Linked DNA regions of Coturnix japonica. The protein of the gene in region 4 interacts with the protein of the main gene of each other region in a biochemical or structural test. Links are inferred from orthologs where the notes say so. Each region holds a gene or a part of one and is shown on either strand. Other genes may lie near its edges.

What was found.
Region 1: the proteins of SNTA1 (region 4) and MAS1 interact in a test that uses a peptide from one of them, tested with the Homo sapiens proteins (2 studies listed by BioGRID and IntAct). The link is inferred for Coturnix japonica from reciprocal best matches to the Homo sapiens genes SNTA1 and MAS1.
Region 2: the proteins of SNTA1 (region 4) and potassium voltage-gated channel subfamily A member 5-like interact in a test that uses a peptide from one of them, tested with the Homo sapiens proteins (2 studies listed by BioGRID and IntAct). The link is inferred for Coturnix japonica from reciprocal best matches to the Homo sapiens genes SNTA1 and KCNA5.
Region 3: the proteins of SNTA1 (region 4) and DGKZ form a complex in vitro, tested with the Homo sapiens proteins (2 studies listed by BioGRID and IntAct, with this or other methods). The link is inferred for Coturnix japonica from reciprocal best matches to the Homo sapiens genes SNTA1 and DGKZ.
Region 5: the proteins of SNTA1 (region 4) and GUCY1A2 interact in a test that uses a peptide from one of them, tested with the Homo sapiens proteins (3 studies listed by BioGRID and IntAct, with this or other methods). The link is inferred for Coturnix japonica from reciprocal best matches to the Homo sapiens genes SNTA1 and GUCY1A2.
Region 6: the proteins of SNTA1 (region 4) and solute carrier family 2, facilitated glucose transporter member 3 interact in a test that uses a peptide from one of them, tested with the Homo sapiens proteins (2 studies listed by BioGRID and IntAct). The link is inferred for Coturnix japonica from reciprocal best matches to the Homo sapiens genes SNTA1 and SLC2A3.
Region 7: the proteins of SNTA1 (region 4) and WWTR1 interact in a test that uses a peptide from one of them, tested with the Homo sapiens proteins (2 studies listed by IntAct, with this or other methods). The link is inferred for Coturnix japonica from reciprocal best matches to the Homo sapiens genes SNTA1 and WWTR1.

Annotation. Positions count from the first base shown.
Region 1 is NC_029518.1:40,978,390-40,982,335, forward strand, and holds the start of MAS1 (proto-oncogene Mas), read right to left. Parts: upstream 2,801-3,946; 5' UTR 487-2,800; coding exon 1-486. UniProt on the Homo sapiens protein: Receptor for angiotensin 1-7. Acts specifically as a functional antagonist of AGTR1 (angiotensin-2 type 1 receptor), although it up-regulates AGTR1 receptor levels.
Region 2 is NC_029516.1:67,514,949-67,519,190, reverse strand, and holds the start of potassium voltage-gated channel subfamily A member 5-like, read right to left. Parts: upstream 2,801-4,242; 5' UTR 2,479-2,800; coding exon 580-2,478; 3' UTR 1-579. UniProt on the Homo sapiens protein: Voltage-gated potassium channel that mediates transmembrane potassium transport in excitable membranes. Forms tetrameric potassium-selective channels through which potassium ions pass in accordance with their electrochemical gradient.
Region 3 is NC_029520.1:21,140,665-21,144,164, forward strand, and holds part of DGKZ (diacylglycerol kinase zeta), read right to left. Parts: coding exon 3,427-3,500; intron 3,102-3,426; coding exon 3,045-3,101; intron 1,695-3,044; coding exon 1,626-1,694; intron 1,165-1,625; coding exon 1,093-1,164; intron 825-1,092; coding exon 546-824; intron 180-545; coding exon 84-179; intron 1-83. UniProt on the Homo sapiens protein: Diacylglycerol kinase that converts diacylglycerol/DAG into phosphatidic acid/phosphatidate/PA and regulates the respective levels of these two bioactive lipids.
Region 4 is NC_029535.1:2,063,043-2,067,283, reverse strand, and holds the start of SNTA1 (alpha-1-syntrophin), read right to left. Parts: upstream 2,801-4,241; 5' UTR 2,070-2,800; coding exon 1,808-2,069; intron 106-1,807; coding exon 1-105. UniProt on the Homo sapiens protein: Adapter protein that binds to and probably organizes the subcellular localization of a variety of membrane proteins. May link various receptors to the actin cytoskeleton and the extracellular matrix via the dystrophin glycoprotein complex.
Region 5 is NC_029516.1:161,711,204-161,714,703, reverse strand, and holds part of GUCY1A2 (guanylate cyclase soluble subunit alpha-2), read right to left. Parts: intron 1,677-3,500; coding exon 958-1,676; intron 1-957. UniProt on the Homo sapiens protein: Has guanylyl cyclase on binding to the beta-1 subunit. Isoform 2 acts as a negative regulator of guanylyl cyclase activity as it forms non-functional heterodimers with the beta subunits.
Region 6 is NC_029516.1:68,505,604-68,509,902, reverse strand, and holds the start of solute carrier family 2, facilitated glucose transporter member 3, read right to left. Parts: upstream 2,801-4,299; 5' UTR 2,678-2,800; coding exon 2,666-2,677; intron 395-2,665; coding exon 299-394; intron 1-298. UniProt on the Homo sapiens protein: Facilitative glucose transporter. Can also mediate the uptake of various other monosaccharides across the cell membrane. Mediates the uptake of glucose, 2-deoxyglucose, galactose, mannose, xylose and fucose, and probably also dehydroascorbate.
Region 7 is NC_029524.1:21,153,223-21,157,244, reverse strand, and holds the start of WWTR1 (WW domain-containing transcription regulator protein 1), read right to left. Parts: upstream 2,801-4,022; 5' UTR 2,647-2,800; coding exon 2,261-2,646; intron 1-2,260. UniProt on the Homo sapiens protein: Transcriptional coactivator which acts as a downstream regulatory target in the Hippo signaling pathway that plays a pivotal role in organ size control and tumor suppression by restricting proliferation and promoting apoptosis.

The DNA.
Region 1 (3,946 bases), on a different chromosome or scaffold from region 4:
AAAAGACAGAGTCCATAGAATTGCGCATACAATTGCTGATTGGTGCCGTGACCGGTGGCAGCGGTACCAGATGGGGTAAACAATAGACAGACACCTCTCAATACTGATGGCTGTCAGGAGATAGAGACCAGTATTATATCCAAGAAGAAAGACAATAGACAGTGTGGTGGTTATATAGTAGTAAAAGCCATACGCGAATCCAAAGCCAGCAATGTACTCAATCGACAGAATAAATACACAAAACAGTAAGGAGATGTCAGCAATGGACAGGTGTGTGATGTACGCAGTGAATGGATTTCTTTTGATCTGGAAGCAGAGGCACCAGAGGACAATTCCATTTTCACAAAAACCCAGGAAGGAGATGATCATAATTACCCAAAGTGGGGTCAATATCTCCCAGACTCTTTCCTGTGTAGAAATGTTTCTGTGCATTGAGATGTTCTCTGTGCCTTCGCTGGGATGAAACGTTATGTTTGACTCATCCATGGGGAAAGCTCAAGTTTGGATAGCTCAGCTCTTCCTTCTGTAAATATGTATAAAAATATACTGTGAATATTGTGTGTTCCTTCCCTCCCCTTCTTTCTACTTTGTGGACCCTGGTTTTCTGGTCAGATCTGAAAGCCTTAGCAAAGGAAAACTATCTCTGATATACTAATGCTAGCTGAAACCCCGCTGCAAATATTCTAAGCAAGTATTAAAGATTTCTAGGCCTATCATGCTAGCAAAAACACTGAGCTTCCCTCTCTGTGGGGTTCAGTTTAGGGATGCTAAACCACAGTCACAGAGATGCGCTTGCAGAGCTCCTGAACATGCAACCTCTCTGTCACATTGCAAAGTCCCATAATGCAGCGATCACATACAGGATTGGTGGCTCTTACTAGAGCACTGGATTGTTCCCAGACAGTTCTGTTCAGCTCCCTTTAAAGCTAGTGATGATAATTTGAAGCCATACATATGTATTTCAGGTGAATCTGGCACAACACAAAATGCTGTGTGTCAAAAACTTGATACCAATACCTTTTCCAGAAAGATTTAATTTATTAAGTAAAATTAGTATGTAGTTACTCAGCTCAATATTTCCTCAAAGTGTAAAGTCGTGGGAATGGAAAATGTCTTAGTTTTGAGTCAGTCCCATGTTTGTCCAACTTTAAGTATCATTTATCAAAGTATACACTCATAGAATCATAGAATATCCTGAGTTGGAGTGAACCCACAAGGATCACTGAGTCCAACTCCAGTATAACATAATTTAACCATAGCGAACCATTTAACAGAACTGCAAATACCCTGAAAATGTTACAAACCCAACCCATTGCAAGAAGCAGTTGTTCAGGTTCCCTGCTATTGTTATAATGGTTAGATCTGTTGATTTGGAACAAATTCTCCCTTTGAAGGTCTCCTTTCATCCCACAAGAGACAGCAAGTAGCACTGGCTTCTGTTGATTTTCATTGGTGTGTAGGATTGTGTCATGCTCCCTTCCCTGTTAACTTCCTACCTGCCTCGGAGATAACGTAAACTCAGAGCCCTTGCTGATTTACTGCTGTTCCAAGGAATAACTACTGGAATAAGCTTGCCCATGTGCCTCAGTTCATCTATATAGGCTGTTAACATGCCATAATGGGAATTTACCTACATCCTCAAGCAGTCAAGAACATCAAATGCAAGGGAAAGAAGTTTTACTGGGGATAGATAAGTCATGTAACCATTACTGAAACAGAGCCCCTGACTCCAATCATACATTTTCCCTCATGAGCCCTGGGTTTCCCATGTTCACAACAGCTTCTTCAGACAGGACACCACAGTCTAAAAAAGAGCATTAGTAAACAACCTGGGAAGCCTCAGGGCTGGCTGGCATTTAAACCTGCACAAAAATGGTAATGATGATCTCACCTGTATGTTGACTGTGCCACCGTCTGAGACTCAGTCGGAAGGAACAAACAACATAGCTGGAAATGTGGAAGACAAGTGAGCGTGAATGAAGCAGGTAAGTGCAGTGACTGGAATGAGTGGCAGAAGTTCCTAAAGCAGTGTTCTGGAAAAGCTGTAGAGGGAAGGTGCTCAAAAACTGTGCTACTGGAAGTGTGGTAGAATTTCATAGGAGGAAAGAAGAGGAGAATCTATCTTCTTCAACAGTTAAAAGAAATAGAAAAAAAACAATATGAAAAGACTGGATTATGTGTTTGATTCATATATCTGTATCAGTACACTATTTCTTTCTGGAGAGTGAAATGAAGAACAAAAAGTTCTGGACTTACTACAGTCATTCCCACATGAAAACATTCAGAGAAGAGAATGGAAAGAATCTTCTCCTTCCAGATACATCCACGGTCTGTTCAGATTTCCCTGAAGCTGCTGAAGAACTTCCTTGAAGAAGCTGAAGGTTACCTTTTCCAACCATTTGTCTTTGGTAAGAGGGAGAGCGAATAATGCACTCTGACCATGACTCCCTCAAAAATAAGTGTGCAGTTGTCCCATTGCACAAAATTACTGAGGCACACCAAGGAAAGAGCCCTTCATCTGATTCTGTGCTTCAAATGGCATCACTCAGTAGTTGGCAAGTCATCTGTCTGAAAGCCTGGGAGTTAACTATTGTGGGAACTGAATGGCAGTATATGGAAAATTGTCCTGAGCTGTCACAATACCAAGAGACATAGTTTAAACAAACAAACACAAAGTGAGCAGGAAATCTATTTGGGGAGGATAAAATCTGAAGGAAAAATCTCAGTTTAGAACTGTGCCACTATATGCCATCTAAAACAATACAAGTTGATTTGTAAATGTGTCTTAAATTACTTTCTAATGTAAGAATAGAAAGTAAAGAAAGTGAAAAAAGAGAGGGAGAAGGAGAGAGAGAAAGGGGAAAGAATGAAATGAAGAGAGAAGGAAGAGAAGAAGGAAAAAAGGGAAGGGAAGGGAAGGTGAAGGGAAGGCGAGAAGGGAGGGAAGGGAAGGAAGGGAAGGGAAGGGAAGGAAGGGAAGGAAGGGAAGGAAGGAAGGAAGGGAAGGGAAGTGGAAGGGAAGGGAAGGAAGGGAACGGGAAGAAGGGAAGGGAAGGGAAGGGGAAGGAAGGGAAGGAGGGAAGGAAGGGAAGGGAAGGAAGGGAATGGGGGAAGGAAGGGAAGGGAAGGAGGAAGGGGAAGGGAAGGAAGGGAGAGAGGGAAGGGAAAGGAAGGGAAGGGAAGCCGACACGAACAAAGAAAATATGCAAGGCTTTTGGGATAGTCTCAGATGACACATTTCTATTTGTATAGACCCCAAGATTATTCTAAAGAAAAACCAAACAAACAAGCGAGCAAGCAATCAACAACACCAACAAACCCAACAACACAGAAATACAAAGCAAAAGTCATTTCTTGAGATTTAATCACTCTCCCCTGAAAAGTTCAAACAAGCCTAGGAGCAGATAAATGTCCCCTGAGGGTGTCCCCTGCTTTTGCCCCAAGTATTAGGTTGTTTTTCTATTCAGATATTAGCAGAACAAACATTCTTCGCCAAAAAAGGAGAGAATTTGCTTGGTTTTCTCCTTTAGATGTTTCACTAAAACTACCAAATCCCCAAACGGGAAAAGCTACTAACTAACATGAGAAATAAATGACCCCAAAGGGAGGGTCAGAATAAAGTTAGGAAAGTAACGGAAAAAAGTGAAAACAACTTCTAATTGCCCTTTTGTTTGTTTAAATTGTAATCTACCTTGTGTAGAACAGCCGCGGGACCAAAAATTTCAAGCTGTTCTGGAAAAGGAAAAAACCTGTTCCTGACCCATAAAATGAAACATGCATATGAGTAGTGAGGATGATCATTGTAGGAGTCTGTTAGTATTGCAAGCTAGTCCTTTTTTTAGCCCATTCAGTCTGCTGCACAAAAGTGTTCCAAAATCAGGGATGTCCTTTCCTCTGTGTCTCTCAGTGGATGGTGGTTTCTGATAACTCATACGCACACAGCATT
Region 2 (4,242 bases), on a different chromosome or scaffold from region 4:
CAAGTGGAAAACTCTAGAAGTGCTGATCTGCCAGTATTCCTAGTGCTTTAATGGAGTGGAATGTCTCAGTAATAGGAAATCCCATTTCATCGATAAATATATTGATGTAGACACAAAATAAATTAGAATATTTTCAGTTTGAAACTGAAAACTCTCATTGTTCTCTCACACTCCAAAACTCACTCATTCTCTGCACATGTCCCCCAGCTCTTTAATAATCTGCAGAAAATGTATTGATTACAAATGACCATTTCAAACCAACCATCATTTGCTAATAAAAGTTTCTAAAAATTAGATTTTGTATTTTCATAATTTACCAGCTCCTGCATCACGGAGAATAGTTTACTGAATCTATTTTAAAAACAGGTGACCATTTGTGTCATGGAAAAAGAACATAAAAACATTTATTCCCGGAGGACTGCTCAGGACAGTGATCAAATTACAAAATATAGTCTGATTTAAAAACCTAACAAACAAACAAACCAAAAAAACAACAAAATTGGTAGGAAAATAATATAGTAGTAAGTTTCTGACACCAGCAAATTCTGCTGCATCTCTAACTACAATTCTCTCCTTTCCTCACAGGTCTGTTTCCCTGCTGCTATCCAGACAGAGGGCATATAGTGATTTTCTGAGATCTACGTTACTTTTAGCTTTGATATTGGTTTTCTTTAAAGGGCTGGCACTGCTTTTGAACTCTTCATTATTTTCCAAGTGCACAACAGATTTGTCCAGAGAGCTTTTACTGCATCTTCTCTTTCCATCTACCCCAGTTACACTGTCCTGAGCACTACTGTGTTCTTCTTTGAGCATAGCTTGCTCTTCATGGTCAGTCTCTCGGTGGTAGAAGTAGTTGAAGTTGGACACAATAACAGGGACAGGCAGGGCAATGGTGAGCACACCAGCAATGGCACACAAGGACCCCACGATCTTGCCCCCCACAGAAACAGGTCGCATGTCCCCATAGCCCACAGTGGTCATGGTCACCACAGCCCACCAGAAAGCATCAGGGATGCTGGAGAAATGAGACTCAGGGTCATCAGCCTCAGCAAAGTAGACAGCGCTGGAGAAGAGGATGACGCCGATGAAGAGGAAGAAGATGAGCAAACCCAGCTCCCGCATGCTGGCCTTGAGGGTCTGCCCCAGGATCTGCAGCCCCTTGGAGTGCCGGGACAGCTTGAAGATCCGGAAGACCCGCACCAAGCGGATGACTCGGAGGATGGCCAAGGACATGGCTTGTTGCTGGCCTCCACTCCCATTGCTGCTGCTACCTCCAGGCTGCTGTTGTTCATTGGCCAATTCTGTGCCCAGCGTGATGAAGTAGGGGATAATGGCCACGATGTCAATGATGTTCATGATGTTGCGGGAGAACTCTGGCTTGCTGGGGCAGGTGAAGAAACGCACAAGGAGCTCAAAGGTGAACCAGATGACACAAGTGGTCTCAATGATGAAGAATGGGTCAGAGAGGCTACTCAGTGACTGCATGGGTGAGGAGTCTCCAGCTGTGGCATTCAAACCTCCACTTTGCGGGGGCAAGAACATGGGTATCTCTCGTTCATCCCTGAATTCAGGCAGAGTCTCCAGGCAGAAGATGATGATGGAGATAAGGATGACCAAGACGGAGACAATGGCGATGGCCCGGGCTGAGCTGGAACTCTCAGGGTACTCAAAGATGAGCCAGACCTGGCGCTGAAACTCGTTGTGGGGAAGGGGCTTGTCCTCTTCTCTGATGAAACCCTCATCCTCCCGGAAGCGCTCCATGGCCTCCTTCCCCAGCTGGTAGAAGCGGATCTCATCAGCAAAGACATCAATGGAGACATTGATAGGCCGGCGGAGCTTGCCCCCAGACTGGTAATAGTACAGGATGCCATCAAAGCTGGGCCGGTTCCTATCAAAGAAGTATTCATTTCTGAGAGGGTCAAAGTATCTGCCTCGCTTTGCTGGATCACCCAACAGTGTGTCAGGAAACTGGTTGAGGGTGCCCAGCTGAGTCTCAAAGTGCAGCCCAGAGATATTGATTAGCACCCTCTGATGATGCATTGCACCCCGGCTCGCTGCCTTCATCTCCTCCTCCTCGCTGCCTGCTGCCATGGCCATGCCCCGGCGGTGACCCCCTTCCTCCGGGGGATCCATTTCCGAAGCCGGCCCGGGGCACGGTGCGTTTGGTTGCGGTTGGGGTCCCGACGCCGCCCGGCCGCTGATGCCGCCCTCGCTGCTGCTGCGGCGCCTCCCGCCGCCTCCTGGAGGGGCAAGCGGGGGCCCCTCCCGCTCCTCTTCGACCTGCGGCGGCGGTGATGCCGGTGGGGTTCCCTCCTTGCCGTCGCTCAGTCTCGGAACAGACGGGGATCCCGCGGTGTGGCGTAGATCGCGCCGTCTCCGAGCCCTGCTGCTACCGCCGGCGTTACCGGCCGTGGCATCCTCGCCGGCCGGGATGGCCCCGCCACCGCCGTTCTCCAGAGTCACCAGCGCGATCTCCATGGGCAGCGGCAGCAGGCGGGCTCCGCTGAGGTGGCGGGCATTCTATGCACGACGCCTCGCTGCCGCCATCCACCTCCGGATGGGTGGGCGGCGGCCCTGCCCTGCCCTGCCCTGCCCTGCCCGCCTATCCCTCAGTGCTCGGCGGCCGAGCGCGGCCTGGGGAAGCCGTTCGGGGACCCGGATATGAACGAGCGATCATTCTGATGATTTGACGTCAGCGAGGATCCCTTCTCCCCAGCGGTGGCGGCGCCAGCTTCCCCCGGCATCGGGCTGCCGCAGCAGCGCCCCGCCCCGCAGGTGGGACCGACAGCATCCGTGCTCCAGCCCAGCCACTCCGTGCCCAAGCGGAGGGAATCACGGTGTTACCCCGAGCGGGTACGCATCCCTTGAGCAGGGGAAGTCTCCGGCTGGAATTGTCTCAAATGAAATCCAGAGCGCCTCTTGGTGCCTGCTGAATCCTCCTGCCTTCACAGCTTAATGAGAACAAAGAAAGGGATGGGATCTGTTTTGCTTTGCTCCCATCCTTTCCCCGCCCTTAACATGTAGTTCCAAAAGGTGCTTCTGAGGCCAGCAGATAGCAAACGTTACACTGGATTACCCGAATGTTAGCATTTATAATTTGGGACCATACTTTGCCTTCAATGATTTCTTAAACCCACATCCAAGGCTGACACACTTCAAAATATATGCATTTTATTAAAGAAAATGAATTGAAGTAGCTTTATATGATGACTTTGGTTACACTTCAGTAATATGATCGATGCTGTGGTCTTATTTCCTGGGTTCAAACTGTGAACTTCAAGGTCTAGAAGACAACATATTCTAAATATATACATAAACAACACAGGATTAAAACCTATACATATACATATATATATATATGCACAACATCAGTTGTAAAAGATGATACTAAATGGAAAAAACATTTTGCCTTCTAGGTGGCATCACTGCAGTGATATTTGAATCCTTGCAGTAGTAATGATATTCATCAAATGTAGAATAACTGGGATTAATGAGTTTTCACTTAATTTAAACCATTACCTCTGTTTATGAAATATGCCTAAAGATATTATAAGCCATGCCAAAACAGAAAACCATAATTATATTGAATGATTATTATAAATGATGATTTGTCTGTGATCTAAAAGTTGCCTCTGAGAGCTAAGCATGGAATCACTGACCTGCTCTGCCATTGAGAACTTACTCACACAAGTAATTCCTAGAAACAAAATTACAGTATATTTTCTAGAGCTGCTCTGAGATCCTGATGAGGAAAATGCACATTGCTAACTGACACAGTTGGAAAGCACAGCTATGTTCTCTGGGCACCTTCTTTGCAGCTCCAACATTTCTGAGAACTTAGGATGTTATCTGTGTATGTGGGTACAAGGGAAGAGGGGAGGAAAGGGTGGGAAGAAAAATCTATTCCAAAAGCAAATTTTAAAGGGCAATTCTTATTTAGCATTCCAAATTTTCTGAGTATTGTGAAATGAGAAGAGCAGACCATCTAGTAGGAAGCAAAGATATTGGAGAGAAAGTATGACATGCAGACATAACAAGTGAGATGTATGACTCATGTTTTAACCTGATGCTCTCTAATAAAGAATATATTTCTCCTTATACCTGTGAGTTAGCAAAAAACATTTTTTACCCTGAGTACATGCACATGTGCTGTCAGTTTCATACACTCCAGCACATCCATACCCAAACCTACCATTCTCTCTAGCTCCTACTGCCACTTATTTCTTGTAATCTAGTCATCAC
Region 3 (3,500 bases), on a different chromosome or scaffold from region 4:
ACACATTACCAAAACTGTTCTGAGCTCTCAGTAGCCAATGGCAAAGAGCTGCCTTCTCAGGAAGATGAAGGGCAAGGCCATACCTGATTCCCACCACTCTTGGGGTTCACAAACACCAGCAACGGCTTCATGAGAGGAGCTGGCATGGGTTTGATGACAAAAGGTTTCCACCTCCCTTCCTGCAAGAAACACCGCAGGTCCATTAACAGACTTAGTGAAATGCAAACTCCTACCTCCAGCTGAGCCCTAACATCACATAGGTTAGGAGTGGAAGGAAGAGAATATCCTCACCACTCCATAAACCTAATAGCTAAGATATGCCTTGCCAGCAAACATAACTCACCTCCCAGCCTTTCTCATCTCTGTGACACCCTCTGAGATCTTCAGACACTCCCAAAACACTCTTTGTCCCAGACCCCTTTTCCTCTACCTTATACCTCAGTGCAGACCCTGAAAAGAGCCCTTATTTCCCAGTTCTGCTCCTCACTGTCCAGCACCTCTACCTTTCCAACACAAGGTCACCCCCAGCCCCTCTTATCTCTTACCTCAGCACCCTTTTTGCTCAATTTTCTCTTGAATGATGTCCTCTTCTTTTTCTTACTGGATTTCATTGGATTCTGAAAAAAAAAAAACGAAACCCAAACACTATAGAGGAACTGCTGGGTAAACAGGAGCCATGCAAAAACACATGAACTGATATGCCTTACCTGGGGCCGTCGGACCCGCAAAATCCAGGTGGGAGGAACGACGACAGCAGCATGAGCCCCTAGTGAGCAGGGCTCTTCGATGTGTTGCAGCATGAAACAGGACACTTTGCTGTGATACTGGAGAAGCAGAGAGACAGAGAAAACTCAGCCTACTCCATTTCTCCTTCCAGCTGCCCTGTGCCAGTGAAAGGAGAGCTGCAGGAAATGATGCAGGAGTTTTGTAATGGAAAGGCTTCTCCTAGGAGGCACTAAGAAAGCTTCCCATAGCAGCTCCCAGCTATGTTGGTAAGAGTAGCTGTAGTGGCAGGCTGCAGAGGATAAGCCTGGGGGTTCCCAGCAAAAAGCAGAGGTCATTAGAGCAGATATTCAATGGGGCTTTGCTCACCGCTTGCTTGCACCAAGAACAGCTGATGGCTACAATCTCCTTACTGTGGAAGGCAAACTTCTGCTGGAAACCCTGCAGAGAGAAGGATAAGAGGCTTAGGGAATTCCCTTACAGCTTTTCACCGTCCAGAAGGGCTTTCCAAGATACATAAACAAAGAGAACATGCCTGCAGCTGCAGCCCTCTAGATCCCTGTCAGATAACCCCAACCACCACACTACAGCACCAGGGAGGTTGCTGTGCTCTTTGCAGGAGCATCTATATTGCCTAGGAATAGTGAGTCGGGAGGAATGGTGAGTCCCCTCTAGGACTGATGGGGCCCAGGGGGAGAACAACTTTGTACGAGTAGCACTTATGTAGTGCTTCACTGTGTGAAACAGGCCATGAGTCTTGGTTTAGCTATAGGCTGCTCCTACCTAGCAGGAATAGCGTTATGTTAGGCAGGAATTCTTTTACTTCCCAGTCCTGCTATTGCCCCTTGTTTGATCTTAGCTCCCCTTCAGGCTGAGGAAAAACACACCAAGAAGCCTCTCACCTTGCCACACTGCCGGCATTTCCCTTCCTGTCGCCTCCGATGCACCCAGTGATGCCGGACAACTATGGGCTAAAGGGAAAATATAAAGAAAAAAAAAGTGAAAGTCCCAATGCATACAAAGACACAGGAACAGGCAAGAGAAACAGACACAGGCCAGCCAGAACCTCTGCTCTTGCAGTAAGCCTGCTGCCCATCTGCACCAGCACCTAACCTCTAAGAAGGCAAAGCCAAAGAACTTAGGGGCACAAGACCAAATTGTGGTGCTCACAAAAGAGGAAATTAAATCAAAACAAGATAAAACAAAGAACCAAATCAGAAAGGAAGCATCAGAAATTGAAGATAGAATCACAGAAAGCGAACAACAGAGTGGGTAAGCAGTAGACTATAACGTTACTCTGGCCATAAATCACATCTTTATCTCTTAATATCTCTGACCAGATGACATGAAGTGAAGGGTAGAAAAGATGCCAGTGCAAAGTGAAAATCCCCAGTGAGACACAGTTTCTGCACACAGCAAGATGATGGGAGTGCCTGCAGCCAAGTCAACTGCCTGCTCCTAGCAACAGTATTTTTCAAGGAAAGAAGTAGCCCCAAAGCCCCCATGCCTTCTCCCCGAATAAAATCCTGCTGACCTGCTGTAAGGAGAGGAACAGAATTGCTCATGGGTACCTTCTCCCTGCCCACAGCCTCACTGATGGTAGAAGAACGGATACCTTACAGTGTAGTCTTTGAGTATTGTAGGGGGACTGACCCAGGCAGCCAAAATTCTGGAAGAATGCTTTTCTATGTTAATGGGAGGCCCCTAGGTAAACTGAGGAGTATTGGAAAGAGGCTGGAGGATGAGCTACAAAGGCTGGCAGGTGCTTCGCCAGTGCAGCTCAGCAGAGAGGTCCCAGGTCTCAGCTTGCACCCACTACATTACAGCGCAGACAAAACAGGTCTAACAGCACCACCATGGGCACCTTCCATCGCTGTATGGAGCACCCGTAGCATCCAGGGCAAAGCTGAGCAATAAAGCAAGAAATGAGCCTGCACTGCCCCCTGCCAATCCATGGGAAACTTGGGGAACTGCTGCTTGCCACAGCCTCCTCTATTGACTTGGACATCAGCAAAGGAAAGGTCCTTTGCCCCTCTCAGGAAAACCTGTTTGCATGTTCCTCCCATGCAGATACAGGAGCTAGATAACATGCAAAGCAGCAGATGCTTTGTCTTTTGCTTGCAGTCTCCTCTCTTCTTACACTCAGACTGTACTGCTGCTTGGCAAGGAAGTATTCTTTACTGCACCTCCCCTCTGGAGCCAGAAGGCAGAGCAATGCCAGCACTTTGACAGGCAGCACGCTGGCAGCAGTTGATCCCTTTGCAACCAAACTGTAAAGGCAACAGCTCAGCCATAGGCAGCATCCAAGGCTCATGTCTCACCTCCCGTACGTTCCGAGATCCTGACTCCCTGAAGGAAGGTTTGCAGCGGAAATTTATCTGTGGATTGAATACATATGATAGGAATCAGTAAAATCACCACCAAGAGGAAACCTACTGGAGTTTATTTTACTATAGCAGAACCTCTGGCAATGTTCAGTGCTTGACTGCAAAACCCACCACCTCTGTCGCCACACAAAATGGGTCCAGGGGTCCCAGTTGAGTAATTAGCGCTCCTTTTGGTACTGTCTCCTCATAGGACCCCTCCTTCCAGCAACACATTTCAGTTTCCAACCCTCCTATGCTACCCCAGAGAGATGAATGGCCAGTATCAGACTGTCAGAGCTTTGCAAGCCACAGAGAGGGCTTAACAGGTTTTACTCACTTTCTCCAGCTGTTCTATGCAGGGTGTATGCACTATGATCTTGCATGCTGCACACTTACGCCTGGAGAGAGGTT
Region 4 (4,241 bases):
TCACGGACAGGATGGCATCTCCCACATACAGTGCCTCGGTCTGGTCTGCTGCCAGTCCCTTGAAGATCTTGGAGATGAGGATGGGCATCTTGTTCTCCCGGCCACCTGCGGGCAGAAGGGGCACCAAGCAGTGAGGGGACACTGAGCAATTAGGGGCACAGGGCTGCTCAGTGCCCACACAGTGCCCAAATACCTCAGAGCTTTATGGCAGACACATGTTAAGTGCTTCAAAAAACCATCCGAGTGGCTGCAGATTTCCTTGCTGAACAAACACACGCCCTGACCGCCTCCCCATCACTTCTGGCAGGAAACTGTGTCACTATTTGCATTATTAACTGTGTGTGCTGAGCAGCCTTCCCTGCTCTCAGGACCCCACGGTCTCAGTGGGGCAGCAGCTGAGTGCTGGAGAGGCAAAAGAGCCCCAGAGCAGCAGCTCAGCCGCAGGACTACCTGCTCCCCACTCCTCTCTGTCTCCATTCGGGCTGCTCCCCACTCTTCAGCCCACCAGGACACTCTCAAGGCCTCCGGGCAGCTCAAGGAGATCAATTTGCACTTTAAGTTCTGAACCTGTAGGAGATGCCAGCAGCCCCGCCTGGCGCTGCCCACGCTCAGCGCTGGGACAGCGTGTGCCGGGCACCCCCTCACTCCCCCCTACCCCCCTCCCACGGGCAGGGACCGGCAGCGTGACACCTCCCAGGGCTGCACCCGCTGTGCCGCCAGCATTGCTCCGCTCGGATTTCTGCAGAGCCTCTCCGGGAGCTGAGGGCTCCTCCGGCTATCAGCTGTCAAGAGGCCCCCGCGGGGGCTGCTGCTGGCTGCCGAGCCCAGCTTGGAAGCAACGCCTCGCAACCACCCATTCTGGGCTGTGTGCGTGGAGAGGGAACCACCGCCCGGAGCACCATGCGGTACACGACCCTGCAGGAGAAGGATCCTAACCCTAACCCTAACGATGCTAACCCTAACCCTGCAGGGCTGCATGAAGCACCAGAAACCCCAAGTGAAGTACTGTCTGGGGTTAGGATGCAGCTGAAATGCTTTAACCAGAAGGTCCATTTTAGATTCTGTCCCACGGGCCATGGACAGGAGCTGGCTGGCAGCGGGGTACCCGTCCCTCCATGCCCCCACCCCCTGCAGGGACAGCAAGGTTTGGCTGCGTTTAATGGCACATGGTCACCCCCCTGCAAAGCAGCAGAGGCACAAGGCAGCCCAAGTGCTGCCCGCCCGCCTGCAGCTCCCCGTTTGGATCACGGCTCCTTGGTTTCCACCTACGTCACTGCAAAAATAAAGTTTAGCTGAAGCAAGTAACGTTTCTCCTTTCCTGGGAGAGCCGCAGAGCCGGCAGCGCTTCGCAGCCCGGGGTTGGTTACAAGGGGGGATTGCACCTCCCAAAAGCGCTGCCGAGCTGCAGCACCCACAGCCCCAACAAGCGGTGAGGGCTCACCCCGGACCCCTCACGGGGACCCGCACCCGACACACCGCCCCACCCAGCAGCGCCCGGCAAGGAGCGCGGTGAAGGCTGAGCCCAATGCGGCCACGTCAGACAGCGGCAGCCCCCCGCACCCCCCCTCGCGAAGTTCCCGGCCCGAAGTTCCCGCAAAGTCCCCAGGACGGGGGTGGGGGCGGCGGGGGACACCGGGGGACACCCGACCGGGGCAGAGCGCTGCGTTTGGGGCGGCCAGGAGGGGACACCGCACCGGGGTCACGCAGGACGCAAGGACACGCGGGCGGAGCCCTCCGGTCGCAGCAGGGCAGCGTAGGTCCTACCTGCCGCCGCCGCCGCCCACTCCTGGTACTCCCCCCCCCTCACCTTTGATGCTGATGCCGAGCCCCCCCACGTCCTGTTTGACGACGCGCACCGTGCGCCTGATGTTGGCGAGCGCCTCGGGCACGCCGGAGCTCTGCTCCCCTCCGTTCAGCTGAGCCGGCGGAGGCTCCCCGGGCCCGGGGCCGTCGGCGGGGCTGACGCTCAGGGTGTCATCGCTCAGGGTGAGCAGGACGCGAAGCCACTGTCCGCCGGGACCGCGCAGCTCCAGCAGCCCGCTGCGCGCCCCTCGCCTGCCCGCCGCCATCTTCCGCGCATGCCGGGCCCGGCCCCGCCGCTCCGGCAGCTCCGCTCCGCGCTGCCCCGCGCACCGCCCGGCGGAGCAACGAGCCCCGCGCACCGCCCCCGGCCCGGCCCACGCCCGCCCCGTCGGGGCAGCGCCGCGCTGCGGGGCTCCGTGCCCGAGTATGGGACGGGGAGCGCCGGGAGGGGCATGGGGAGCTCTGCACACCCTCACTCGGACCCTCCCGGCTCCGGGCACCGCGGTGCGGTTGTGTCACAGGGGGACCCTGCGGGGCACGTCGGGGCGCAGCGGTGTCCGTGCCGAGAACCGGGTGCCACGAAAGCTTCGGGCGTGCTGCGGGGTACACGAGTAACTGCTGTCGTGGAAGCGAGCAGCGCTGTCAGGCAGAGCCAGAAGTGACTCGAAGCGAACTCTGGACTTATTAAGGAAAACTGCGATGATGAAAAGCAATGGCAGCTCTTGGGGGCGGTGGGGGGCAGCCTCAAGAGCTCTCCCACTGGCGTCCGACGACGTCGGTGCCCCAAAGATGGGTGCAGACAGCAGCAGGGAGGATTTTTGGAGGCATTCAGAACAGTCTTGCTTTTTTTCTTTCCTTTCCCTGTCCTGCTTCTTGAAAACAGGAACGGTGTTTGTTTCCTTTGGCAGATCCGCATTTCCTCCTGCAACCGAGTGGCAGCAATGAGGGATAAAAAATACCTCTGGGTACATCCCCTGTGCCCCTTCGGGCAGCTCCAGAGCCCTGGGGTGGGGCTGCAGGTCCCCAAGCCCCAGGCTCTGCAAACGCAGCCTTAAAGGAATTGAATCCCGTTCACGCACAAGGGGAGGTGGGGGGGGTATTGCAGAGCAGGGGGCTGCAGCCCTCCCCACCCCCACACGGAGGCAGCAGCGCTCCCCCCACGCAGAGGCAGCTGTGGAATTTCTTGAGATTGCGGCAGAGGAAACCCTGAAGGTTTTTCCCTTGCAAAGCACAGCTCAGATATTCCAGTTTTCAATCCAAATTCTGCAGTTCGATTGGAGTGACTTTTTGGGTTTGCCTAACAGTGATGCTCCCACGCCCATCACACCCCCCCCTCCCCCCCCCCAGTCCTCTGTGCATCCCACAGACCCTGAGCTGCTGTGCCCATAGCAGAGGGGGTTCAGTCCTTTTGCTGCCAGTTGGGGTCACTTTGCCCCTTGCCACTCGCAGTCTTTTTTCTTTCCAATGCTATTTCCAGCACAGGTGATTATTAAGGCTGTATTCTCATTGTAAGCCACGTCAGAAAGCAGAGACACTGCTCCCAGTGCCACAGGATGGCACCATCCAGGGATATGTGATATGTTTGCTTCCCCAGCCCTGGCAGCACTATGCAAAGCAGCAGTGGGAAGCAGAGCAGTGCCACACAGGGGGAAACCTTGTGCCATGCCACACTGCTGGGCAGCAAGGCCATGTGTGCAGCCCCACATCATGGCACAGAGGTGCTGCAGTGCCCGTGGGATGGTGATATCTTCACTGTGATTCTGTCACAAGGCTGAGCCCATCCCATCCTCCCCCTGCAGAACATCCCCGCTCCCGGACGTGGTGGGTGAGCTGCTATTATTAGCTTCAGCTCTTGGCACACACAGGAGCTGTGTCAAAGCCCACCCGTCTATTTATAGAGCGCTGTTAGCTGCGTGAATTTACATGAATCACTTCTGAAACAGAAGAAAAGCTCGTGTTTGGGTCTGAAGTGGCATCCCCAAGGCTGACAGCAGCACCTCAGGAGAGCATGGGGCAGCAGGTCCTGCCTTGCTGAAACAGATCAGAGGCTGCAAATGCACTGGAGAGGATGGGCAGGGAAATAAAAGAGATTCAGATGTGCACCATGTACTTAACCGAGTGATTCATCCCCTGGTATACAGGAAATGTAGTGAAATGGTGTTGTCTGCCCAAACTGTGCAGTCTCCGACTCCTCCAGTTGACTTTAAAATGTTTTGCTTTGGGACACAGTCACTCCTGGCCGAGTTTCTCCCTTCTCAGTCTGGGTTCTGCTCTCTGGATCCCCATAAGACAGCCACACCAGCTGAGCTCTGTGCTGTGGAAGCGCTTTGCTGCTGCACAGCAGATGGGTTATCAAGGCTGGATGAGTGCTGTCAAAGAAACAGGAAAAAGAAGCACCTGGGGACTGAGATAGGTGTGGGGAAAGCAGGAGCTGGGGG
Region 5 (3,500 bases), on a different chromosome or scaffold from region 4:
TCCAGACCATCTGAATTGTATACGTGCCACCTTTAAGAAGAAATTTGGTAGGTAAGTATCCAGTGTGAATAGGATTGACTATTTTCGGTTACTAGCTCTTAGAAATTCTGCAAATCAATAATTATTTCATTTAAGACAGCAGTATCTCCAAAGGACCCTAGCATACACTTTCAATATAAGTCCAGCATATTAAGTGTGTTAGTGCATAAAGCTGGAATCTTGCTTTGCAGCAAAAAGCTTTCTATTAATTCAAGGATATGCAATAAGGCAGAAGTCTTTGTGGAGGTATGTTCTGGAAGACAATTTCACATGGGATGCACTGAATTCAATATAGGGCACATTAGTTGAAGTAACTCTTCTGAAACACTGAAGGAAGAGGCAAAGTAGAAAGACAAGTACTATTTTAAATGACTGGGAAACATTAAAACTAGTCTACAGTGATACGGGTACCTTTTACAGCTCTGGTTCTTTGAAAGCAGGGTGAGAGATGAGAAGAAACACAGACAAAAGCAGTGTTTCCAAATTGGGAAGCAGGATATAAAAGTAGCTATGTGAGCCCTGAAGCAAGAGTCTCTCAAAAATATATATTGAAAGCTATTCTCCTGTTTAATAACTATTTAATAACTATTATTGTTATCATAATAGAGCTGGAGTGACATTAAGGATTAGATATAGGCATTTTCTAAAAATCCTCACTCTTCTGGTTCAAACTGAACTAAGCAACTTCACTGAAGAGAATTTTCTCAAAGGCAATGTCACCATTCACAACATCTCAGGCAAAGCTTGTAAATAACTTAGGAAAATACTCATTTGGCAGAGGAATACCACTTAACCCTATTTAGAAAGCATAATTGAGCTTTCCACAATACACGGGACTTTAGATGTTTCTTTCTGTACAAAAACTCCTCTCTCATTACACACATATACACGTTAGCCCTTCCAAATTAATGCTCTTACCTTGTCTTTATTTTCAGAGTCAGTATCCTCAAGTTTGGTCCGAATAACAAAGGGAGTAGATAACCTCAGGAGGACTCGTTCAAATGTGGCACTGATCTTAGGAGAAACTATGTCGAAGCAGTCTTGGAATTTCAGAGTTTTGTGGGTGTCACATCTGAGCTGCTTCCTTAGACCTTCTCCCAGCTGAAGAATAAACATGTTTTGATCAAACATCAGGTGAAAGGGGAATGCTCTGCAGAAGGTGCTGATACTAATCCTCAGATCTAAGGGAGAGTGGGAAGTTCCCGATGGAAGTGCTTTTGTGATATTTGCATTTTCATGTTCTTTGATAAGGAAAGTCAGACAGCTGCAATTGCCTGGGTTCGTCCCCTCTGAACACAGCTTATCGTTAGTGACCTGTTCTACTTCCACGTCCAAGCGGTAAATTTTCTTTGCTGCTGCCTTTATCATTCCCACCATTGCAAACCCTACAATCTGATGTGGGTGAAAATAATGAAGCATGAGATTGCCTTCAGGGAGCTCTTTGCATAGGAAAGATGGGGATTCCAGGGTGGCCTGTCTTCCAAATGAAGTTCTAATGTGCTCCAGCAAAGCATCAAAGCCATTGAAGAAGTCTTGAAGGGTCCCACCTACAGCTCGAAGAACTCTTTCATTCTCATCAAAGCAGATATTGAAGAATTCCTCCCCAAATTTTTCTTGCATTTCCTCAAGTTTCAGACCTATAGGATAACAAGACACTCATGTCAAATACATATATCTCTACTGTGCCACATCATCCCTTTGTTGTCTGTTTTCTCAGTATTTTTCCAGTCCTTTAAGAGTGTTTTTTTCCACTACCCATGGAACCGCTGCTTTCTGTGGAAGCTAGGAATGCCTGAATGGTACCCTTGGATGCCTGAAACACACTGCTTCATTCTAGTAGTCATTTTTGCCTGCCCTTTCAATCTTTCATGCTTTCAGCTTCCCATCCCAGCCAGCTAAGTGTGAAGTTTACACTTGCTTTGTCTCCTCTTCCCTGATGGAAGCCAAAACATACTATAATTTCCCTAATTTTTCACCTTCCCTAACTGTAAGTCACATGTAGCCTGTTTTGCAAATACATCCAACCAAGGATATATACCAGCCACTGCTGGCACAGACACAGGAGAGGTTTCTGCTTTTATAGCCCCTCTTGTTTGCTGTTTCTCAAAGTATCTAGCTTTTATCACCTTGAATAATGAGTTATTGGGATGCAGGTTTTGGATTTCAGTGAAAAGTGCAAAGTGAGACCACTGGCTTTCAATAAGCAGTGCAAAGCCATACACTTTAGTAGCTGGGTTGTTGTTGCTGTTGCTGTTTTTCAACAGACAAATACTTTTCTCATTATAGATGATGGCACTGAAAGAAAATAGGAAGAAAGAAAGAAAAAATATTTCTTTTTTGTTACCCGAATAGGAGAGCAAAGCCTCACTATTTTGGGCTTCTACATTCATCTGTCTTCCAATAAATCCATGCCCCTTGCAACTTTCTGAACTGCTATTAGTTGAGACAGGTCTCTTATATCTATAAATGTCACTTCAAGTCTCCATCAAAGCAATACAAAAGGTTTTGATTTACAGAAGTGATAAGGCTGGTATTGCACAAGAGTAAGAAAATATCTGTAATAGATGCCTCTGAATATAAATATAAATGTTTATCAAAAGCTGCCCATTTTTATTTCTTATTTAAACTAGAAAAAAAAAACATATTTTTGAGATGGTTATTAAACATTTTCTTCCTTCTTATTTTAGTTAGGATATGTTCTGTTAAGTCTTATCTGTCTCTAACCCTATATCACTTAGCATAGTTAGAAAATTCATCATTACTAAGCTGTGATAGAAAGAAGCATAAATAAAATGTAAGTGAATTACAAATATCCTGCAAGAAACAAATTACGCAGTTCCCCCAGTGTATTGAATTTATTAAATTTTAGTGAACCAGTCAAACACCTTAAAATTGATCCTGAGTTCTAGCAGAAATGAAGAGCAACTATCTCATTCCTCAGGGCACAATAGGCCCTTTATTTTAATATGTATTCAGCATGCTTTATAACATTGATAAGATCCTAGTGGATCGCCAAACTTCTTACTGTTTGTTTAGATTACTGGTAGGCTTTACAATTTGGCAGAATAGTGTGGTGAGAGACTTCCATGCCTAAGAGGTTTAACAGGACAGAAGTCACTCGTCTGTCATATGCTGACAATAATCTTCAGTCATCTCAAGTCAGGGCTCGTGCACACAGGCAAAGATACATTGATCAATATTTACAGGGAATGAGAGTACTCCATGCCTTTGCAAACAGTCTGCAATGAGAGTTTTATTTGGACCCTCAACATGATTGATAGCAGAGTAAAATTCATAAAAGTACATTTGTAAACAGGACAACATGACAAAGCAATAATAGTTTGGGAAAGTTCATCTGTAGGCCTTTACTCATAGTGAACTTTGGTCAATGAACTAGGTTATTACAGTAATATTCCCAGGATCTTTTGTGCCCACAGATGGTCAGATCATCAGCTAAGCCA
Region 6 (4,299 bases), on a different chromosome or scaffold from region 4:
TTGTGTTTCCTCTCCTCTCGTGCCCTAAAGGGGCAGGGGGAAGATAAGGCTTACTAAGAAACAAAATGACAATCCCTGATGCAGTTGACCCCTTTCGTTCAGCTGAATTTTCAGTGAATTTTGATCATTCACTGTGATCTCTCTTCCCCATTAACTTTCCTGTCCTTTGAATGCCTTCTTTCCTTTAATTCAACCACCACAACCAAAACTATTTGCCTGACAGCTCCTGTCCTTTATGCTCTTTTCTTCCCCAACACATTTATACATTTTCCTCCCCAGCTCATTCCCCAACTCTCACCTTCTCTGGAGCATTAATGACACCGGTGTTGTACCCAAACTGAAGAGATCCAATGGCAGCAACAGAAACAGCATAGATTAGCGGAGCAGTAAGTTGCTGAATAAAAAAAAAAAAAAAGAAAATGCAATTATTTAGTTAATTGGGAGTTCACGCTTTCTACATAAGTTTCTCTTCAGCATAAATAGAAGACAACTGGGCCAACTGCAACCAAGAGCCTCCCTCACAGAAAAGGCTGTGCTGCCAGCATTCCTCATTTATTTTTCCTGCCACTGAGCCAATAGCAAATATTCAAAGCAAAGCACAGCTCCTGGAATATAAGTACATGTGAATCTTTCATATATATATTTTTAACTTAATAACTACTCAACACTGTAGAGGAAGCAGCTCTAACCTGCAGAAGTCCTTGGGACTGATAGACTTAACTGTCAGAGAAAAGCATCTGCTATTTCCCAGGGTTTTGTTTTGTTTTGGGGGGTGGGGAGGAGACAGCTGGCTTAAGCTTTGCAGACAAGGAGGTAGGAGGGCGAAAACAACTCCTTTCTGCTGCAGGAGCAATTAAAAGCTTTCAAAGTACAACAAGGCCTTCCAATTATTCTCCTAAGGCTGACAGGGGAGGATGAAGTACTCCATGGGGCCTGCTGCCACAGCTCCTCCAGGCTCTCATTTTCCAATTGGCTCCAGTAGGCTGTCAGTTTTCATGCTACCTGTACCAGACTTTCAGGAATGCAAGTGCTTCTGGCCAGTACAGCCCCACAAAGCTACCAGTTAGGCCTCAATAAGAAGAAAGTAAATTAATGCACCATTTCCCTCAGCTACATCTTTTAAATGTCTTGTGTTAAGGTCTCTTCCTGATAAGGTTAATGCTGGAGAAAAGGGATATATTCATATATTCCTGCATGGAGCAGATGATTCTCATGCTAAGATTCACAGCTGAACATACTCCAAACAAGGCAGGCCTTCTATCTGCCATCATGCAACCATTCCCTTTTTGGTACAAGAAATTCTGGCACAGAACCGACCTTCCAAAGCACCTCGATGTCACAATTAAGACATATTAAGCCCTTTCAAGACTCCAGGACTTATCCCCCTTAGCAGGTATAGCAGCAAAGTTCAGCTATCCACACTTCCAACACAGTATGTGACACAAAAGCATCCTTCCTTCCCCTCAGGGCCCCTGCTTGTAGTAGTCATAGCTGACCCTTTTCCTTTGGATGCAGCAGGAATTATAGGACACTTGCTTTGTGATCTTGCCTACGTGGTCCATACAGAAGCAAGTAATAACAAGGTTAATTCGTTCTCACCACCTCTCATACTCCATTTTCCTGACTAATGCCAGTTATCCAACTCCCATCCAGTCTCACACCGCCTAAGATATCACACGGCCTGAACCAGCCACTCCAGTGTGAGCCCACAGTTTACGTACTGACCATTTGTTAACCGCTAGCACAACACTTCTCAAAATGGAGACGCTCAGAAATAACACCACAGCACCCACCCCATGTAAAAGCCCAAGGTTGAGGCCTATACAGTGCTTAGATGCTCAAACACTCCTCCTCTCTGCCCACCAGCAGCATGAGGACCCAGCAGCAGCATCGAGCTAGCAACCGCTTTACTGGCAGCGACCTCAGCACGTAGCGTAACGTTTAAGGCCAGCTCGAGAAGCGTCTGCCGCTCTCCGCGAGGCTTTTGGTCAGCTCGTTCTCTCCTTGTGTCTCAGCTCTACCACACTCCCCCCATCGCCCGTTAACACAGGGGCGAGCACCAAGAGTAGAAACACCTCGGCGTCCTGCTCCAGGGCAGCGGCTCCGCTCCCTGGATGAGCCCAGACGCACTATAAAACCCAACAGTGCACAGGCCGAGAATCGATAAAGGCTCTCCCCCCGTTCTCTACAGTAGAAAAGGGAAAGGGCTCGTCTCTATTTCCCTCCAGAAACAGAGTGATCGTTTTAACATAAGCCGCAGCGCCGCCGACGAAACGCCTGTTTGAACAGCTCTCATTTTAGCATCACGGACCCGCTGCCGTTAACTCCGGGGCAATGACCACCACCCAGCCAACAAAAGGCACGCCGTGATCGAAGCTAATTAAGCACTAATGGCATCACACGCACCAAAACAGCTCAACGGCATGGCCTGCATCAAACCTTCCCCGATAAGCTCCCCGTCCTTCCATGATAGACAAGAGCCAGCCCCGCCACCGCATCTCCCCTCGCCATAAGCCGACAGCGGAGGTTAACGCTACGGCAATGAACCGCGACCATATTCCCCACACTACAGACGAGAGAGAGCCCAGCACCCCATGAAAACGACCCTCCCGGCACACTCAGGCAGCGGCCCCAGCTCTGCATCAGCTCCGGCCGCATCCCTCACCTTGTCAGCCATCGCCTCCTGCCAACGGCTCCGGTGAACGGCTCCGGCACCCGCACGCAGCCAACAGAGCCCAACCCGCACCCCGCCCACGAACACGCACCGCTACACCGTCTACGTAACAGCGAACCCAGCCCCCCCGGGCATCCGCCTTTTTATGAGCTGCTCTGGGTGGGGGACGGAGGAGGAGCCGGGGGGGGGGGAGTGGCCGAGGTGTGGGGGATGCGAGCCCTCGGTTCACCCCACGTCCAAGAGTTTTGGGGGATGTGCAGGATGGGATTTGGCTGAGGGAAGAGTGAGGGTGCGGGGCGGCTCCTGCGGGTCTGACGCTGCGCAAAGCATCAGCTGATGGTATCACGCACCGCTGGATTTGCGTGGAGAAGGTTGTTTTTGGAGCTAGAGTTAGAAACGCTCGGGCACGGGAACGAACACGAGAGCAAAGCAGAAGCGACGTAGGGTGCCGGTTCGGTCGTATTTTGTGGAGATTTCTGGATGTTTGGGTGGGGGTTTTTTTTGCTTTGTCATTTGTTTTGCTCATAGATATATATTAAATAAATAAATAAATAAATAAGCCATGGGGATAAAGCCTGGGGTGTGTCTTTGCAGCTGCTCTTAGTCCCATATTAGCACTCTCACCAATCGAACTGGCTCCTATGTTATAAATTCATTTGCAGCCCATCCTATAGGTTAAATAAATAAATAAATAAATGGAAACTGCCACGTCTCTACCAGGAGAGCAATGAAGAGCTGTACTTTTAATTCCAGACTATATATATCTGTATATATATGTGTGTGTGTGTGTGTTCTCAAACAACACGCATCTGCACTGAATTCATCAGCTTTCGGGCGCTCTGAGAATGGTAACAGCCCAGACGTGGGGAAGGGCTGTGAGGTTACAGTCAGAGGAAATTGTCATAATGTCATTGCCTTGCAATGGCAACGAAAATTATGCGGGGTGCGCTCATCATTTCACGGGCCTTTTTGTGGTGTTAAAATAATGACGCCACCAGGAGGGGAGGAAAAAAACAACAACAAAAAAAGCGCTGTTGTGTAAAAGGAAGCCTGCAAATTCCTCTTGCTTAGGTTACATGATAAAAGCTCATCTGCACTCCCGCAGAGGAGCACGGAGAGACAATGACGAGAGGGGATAAGACACAATAAAGCCCTGCCCGGATCCTCCTCGGCCCATCACCGGAGCTATTAGCACATCAAAGTCGCATCTCCACATGCCCAGAGGGGCAAAATGGCAGATGGGAAAGGAATTGAGGGCTCAGAGGAAATATCACCTGGCTGGGCCCCTCCCGGGGCTGCCCCATTGTCCAGGTGTGAAGCCCAACGCCCTGAGCCATGTCGGAGCTCCTTTCAGGTCGGGATGGGGACGCACGTTCCGCACGACTTACAATTAGGCAAAGAATCAGAAGTGGAAGAAGGGAATAATCTTGGTCATTTAGGGAGGAACAAGTGTGGGAAAGTGGGAAAATAAGGGGAAAATAAGGGGAAAATAAGGTCTTGTCCCATCTAAACCTCTGGCTGACCAGTGCCTTTCTCTCCACCTCACCAGCACAGTCTGTCACAGAATCACAGAATCACAGAATCACAGAATTACCCGGGTTGGAAGGGACCTCGAGGATCATGTA
Region 7 (4,022 bases), on a different chromosome or scaffold from region 4:
TTTTATCATCAGGCTGGAAAGAAACAGCAGTTTTTTGACAGACATCCCCTGAATTTACTGTCTGTGGTAAATGTAACCTAGTGGGCTTGGTTTGACCAAACAGGATTTTAAATGCATGATCTAACTTGAATCCTACATAATATTGCATAGCTTTAAATGTGACTTTCCATAAACAACTTTAAATTTTTGCAGAAAATGCTATTTTCACCTTAAAAAAAAATAAATAAAATGATATAGCTTGCAAAATACTGTGGTTCAACCAGGATTGATTTATAGTTAGGCACTGCAGCCAGAAGCACTGAACTCTTTAAAAAAAAAAAAAAAATTAAAAAAAAAATTTAAAAAAAAGATTTTCCAATGAGTTTTTCTGGAAATGGGCAAAGGGCTCACTGAGAAACAACACACAGACTAACGTAAGTAACAAATTACTAACACAATGAAAAATTGGCCTGATATTAAAAGGATGTTGTTAATCAGAGCATTACTGTTGATACAACTTGGGAAAACATGAAAGATGCGGTGGGGTTTTATCCACAGCTTTTTTAAATACAGGACCCACCATTTTTTAGACCCAACAACAATTCAGCGTCTTGGAACATTGTGTGTCTATGTCAGAAATGCGGGACAGGCGAAGGTGAAACCGTGTGAGCACATTTTGATATCAGTCAGAGCCAAATGGCAGACAAAGATTATGTTATGTGATCTATAGCTGGAGTGTGAACACTTGCTTGCCAAGCCCTAGCAAGAATGTATATAAAGTATTTATTCAGGAACAATCTGCCACAGTGTTGCTATCCATAAGCTCCCCTTCCTCTGTACTGCTCTACTGAGAAAAATGCATGCAAAGTGCAGTGGTAACGTCTCAGTGAGGTGATAAACCAGATTAGCAGACACAAATCTGGGCCCTTGTGAGCACTCCCACACACTGACATACAGAATGGCAAAAAGAAATGTATTTCCACTCTTTGGTCTGATGGTGACAAGCACAACCCAGACTGTAAAAAGGAATTCAAGGACTGGGATCTCTGGAGATTCCAAAGCCACAAAGAAAAGAAATCATTATAGAATCATACAAATGTGTATTTAGTTACTTTTACCGGAAAAGAACATTCCCTGCCTTTCTCAAGTCCTACCATGTGCTTGGTATGGCTGAATACACACAGACACACAGTCTCACACGAGCTCAAGATGTGTCTATTCTGACAGAAAATAGGTGGGCAATCCCATAGCCCAACTCCACTATTTATTCCATTAGAAAACACTTGGAGCACTGCATTCAGATGTGGAGTCCTCAGCACAGGGGAGAGATGGACCTGCTGGAGTGTGCTCAGAGCAGGGCAAGGGGTGATCCAAGGGCTGGAACATTCTCCCTGCCTGGACAGGCTGAGAGCTGGGGCCGTTCAGCCTGGGGAAAGCTCAGGGAGATCTGAGAGCAGTCTGCCAGTACCTAAAGGGGCTGCAAGACAGAAGGGGACAGACTCACTAGCAGGACCTGTTGTGTCAAGACATGGGGAAATGGTTTCAGGTTAAAAGAGGGGAGATTTAGACTGGATATAAGAAAAAAAGTTCTTACAATAAGAGTGGTGAGGGACTGGCACAGGTTGCCCAAAGAGGCAGCGGGTGCCCCATCCCTGCAGCAGCTCCAGGTCAGCCTGGATGGGGCTCTGAGCAGCTGATGGAGCTGTGGCTGTCCCTGTATTGCAGTGGAGTGAGACCAGGCGGCCTTTAGCGCTCACTTCGAGCTCAAGCCATTAAACATTCTGCAGCGATGCCTTTGCCAGGTTACCACAGTGCCACTTCATCTACAGTGAATCCGGAGCAGAGGTACAGAACCCACCGCAACAAGGTGCCGCTGCCTTAGCACATATTACAACTACAGCCTGTTCCCAGCCCTATTAAGCTGCTCTGAACCAAATTCCAAACGTCACGAACACACTTTGTTCACAGCGGACCGGCAGCGCGGCTGTCACACCCGTCCCAGCACATCCCCAAAGCAGGGGAGCCCCGCGCCCACCCCGCACAGCTCGTCACCACGCGGCGCTGAGCTCGGATCGCGAACGTTCGTGCTGGGACCCCGAGCGGGCAGCGGCAGCGGCGGGACGGCACTAGAAGCCGGGAACTGCTCGGGCGGGCGGCGACTCCTCGGCCCAAACCCCGCCGTGCCCCGTCCCGCCGCCGCCCCGGGCCCCTCCGTCCCCCGTCGCACCCAGCTCAGCCCCCGCTGCCCGCGCCCGACCCGCCCGGCGCCGCGCTCGCTCACTTGAGGAAGTAGCGCTGTCCCGTGTGCGTGAGCGCCATCTCCCAGCCGGGCGGCAGCGGCAGCTCGTCCGTCACGTCGTAGGAGCGCTGCCGGAGGTGCCCGTGCTGAGGCGCGGCGGCCGAGCCCACGAGCGACGCGGGGGAAGAGTGCGAGCGGACGTGCTGCGCCGCGACGGGCCGCGGCGGGGGAGCGCCCGAGTCCGTGCTGGACTGCCGGGAGTGCGAGCCCGAGTCGGGCTCCTTGAAGAAGGACTCGGGCAGGATTTTCTTCCGCCAGGAGCTAGGCCGGGGGTTCATGACCGCGTTGAACAGCGCCTCGAGCTCCGTGTCCAGGTCCTGCGTGACATGGATCACCTGCTGCCCCGGCGGCGGGGCCGCGGGGTTCATGTTCCCCCGGTCAGCCCCGGCGGAGGGCAGGAGACGGCAGGGCACGGACGGGGACGGGGCCGGCACCGCCGCCTTGGGGACGCGCCGCGCGGAACGGCAGGCGGCCCCGGGGCAGCGCCGTCCGGCCGCCTCTGCGCCCTCCAACCACGGCCCGGCCCGGAGCAGGGAAGGGCGGGTCAGCACACGGGCAGCGCGGCGCCTCCCCCGGGCCGAGCCGAGCCACCCCGGGGCGAGGACAGGACGGGACAGGACGGGACTGCCCCGCCCCGCACCGCCCCGCACCGCCCCGCACCGCCCCGCACCGCCCCGCCGCGGTTATGCAACGGCCGCGGAAACTTCGGATCCTCTGAACCGCTGCGGGACGGGCTGCTCTTAGTCCGGCTGTGTATGCGGCGCTGCTGAGCGCTGTGCGGTGCTGTGCTGTGCTGTGCGGTGCTGTGCTGTGCTGTGCGGTGCTGTGCTGTGCGGTGCTGTGCTGTGCTGTGCTGTGCGCTGCTGTGCGGTGCTGTGCTGTGCGGTGCTGTGCGGTGCTGTGCTGTGCTGTGCTGTGCTGTGCTGTGCGGTGCTGTGCTGTGCTGTGCGGTGCTGTGGGTGTGTGCTGGTGCTGTGCTGTGCTGTGCTGTGCTGTGCTGTGCGGTGCTGTGCTGTGCTGTGCTGTGCGGTGCTGTGCTGTGCGGTGCTGTGCTGTGCTGTGCGGTGCTGTGCGGTGCTGTGCTGTGCGGTGCTGTGCTGTGCTGTGCTGTGCTGTGCGGTGCTGTGCTGTGCGGTGCTGTGCGGTGCTGTGCTGTGCGGTGCTGTGCGGTGCTGTGCTGTGCGGAGGCCTCAGGAGGGCGGTGCTGCGGGACTGGCCCGGGCTCGGAGCCGGCCGTGTGCCCTTCTTGTGCCCGCCCGTGACGGCGGAGCGCTGCTCGGCGCTGCGGGAACTCGGAGCGTGGAACTCGTGACGCGCGGACAGGACTTGGGCAGCCTCGTGGGCTTTGTGTTTAAGCCGTCGTTCATGAAACTCGTGGCACCATTCTGGAAGCAAAATGATGCATAGAACAGTGCAGTAGCTTCACAGTGTGATTTAGTGATGCTTTGGCAAGGGGGCCATGTAATTGGTGGGGGGAGAAGTGTTAATGAGGACGTGTTGTACCCTATGAATACCTAAGAAAGGATTCATCCCTGTGCTGGCCGGTAGGGATGTAATTCCGAGTCCTGTCGCAAATCCCCAGAACTCACTCTCTGGTGATGTTACAGATACAGCTGTGAGGCTGCTTCCATTCCAGCTGCCTCTTTGCAGCCTGGTAGTCTATGTACCAGAAGCCCAAGCTGTGATCAGAATGCATTCAATGCATTCCTGAGGCTTTCTGCAATGGAAATGTGAATCTTGCCTT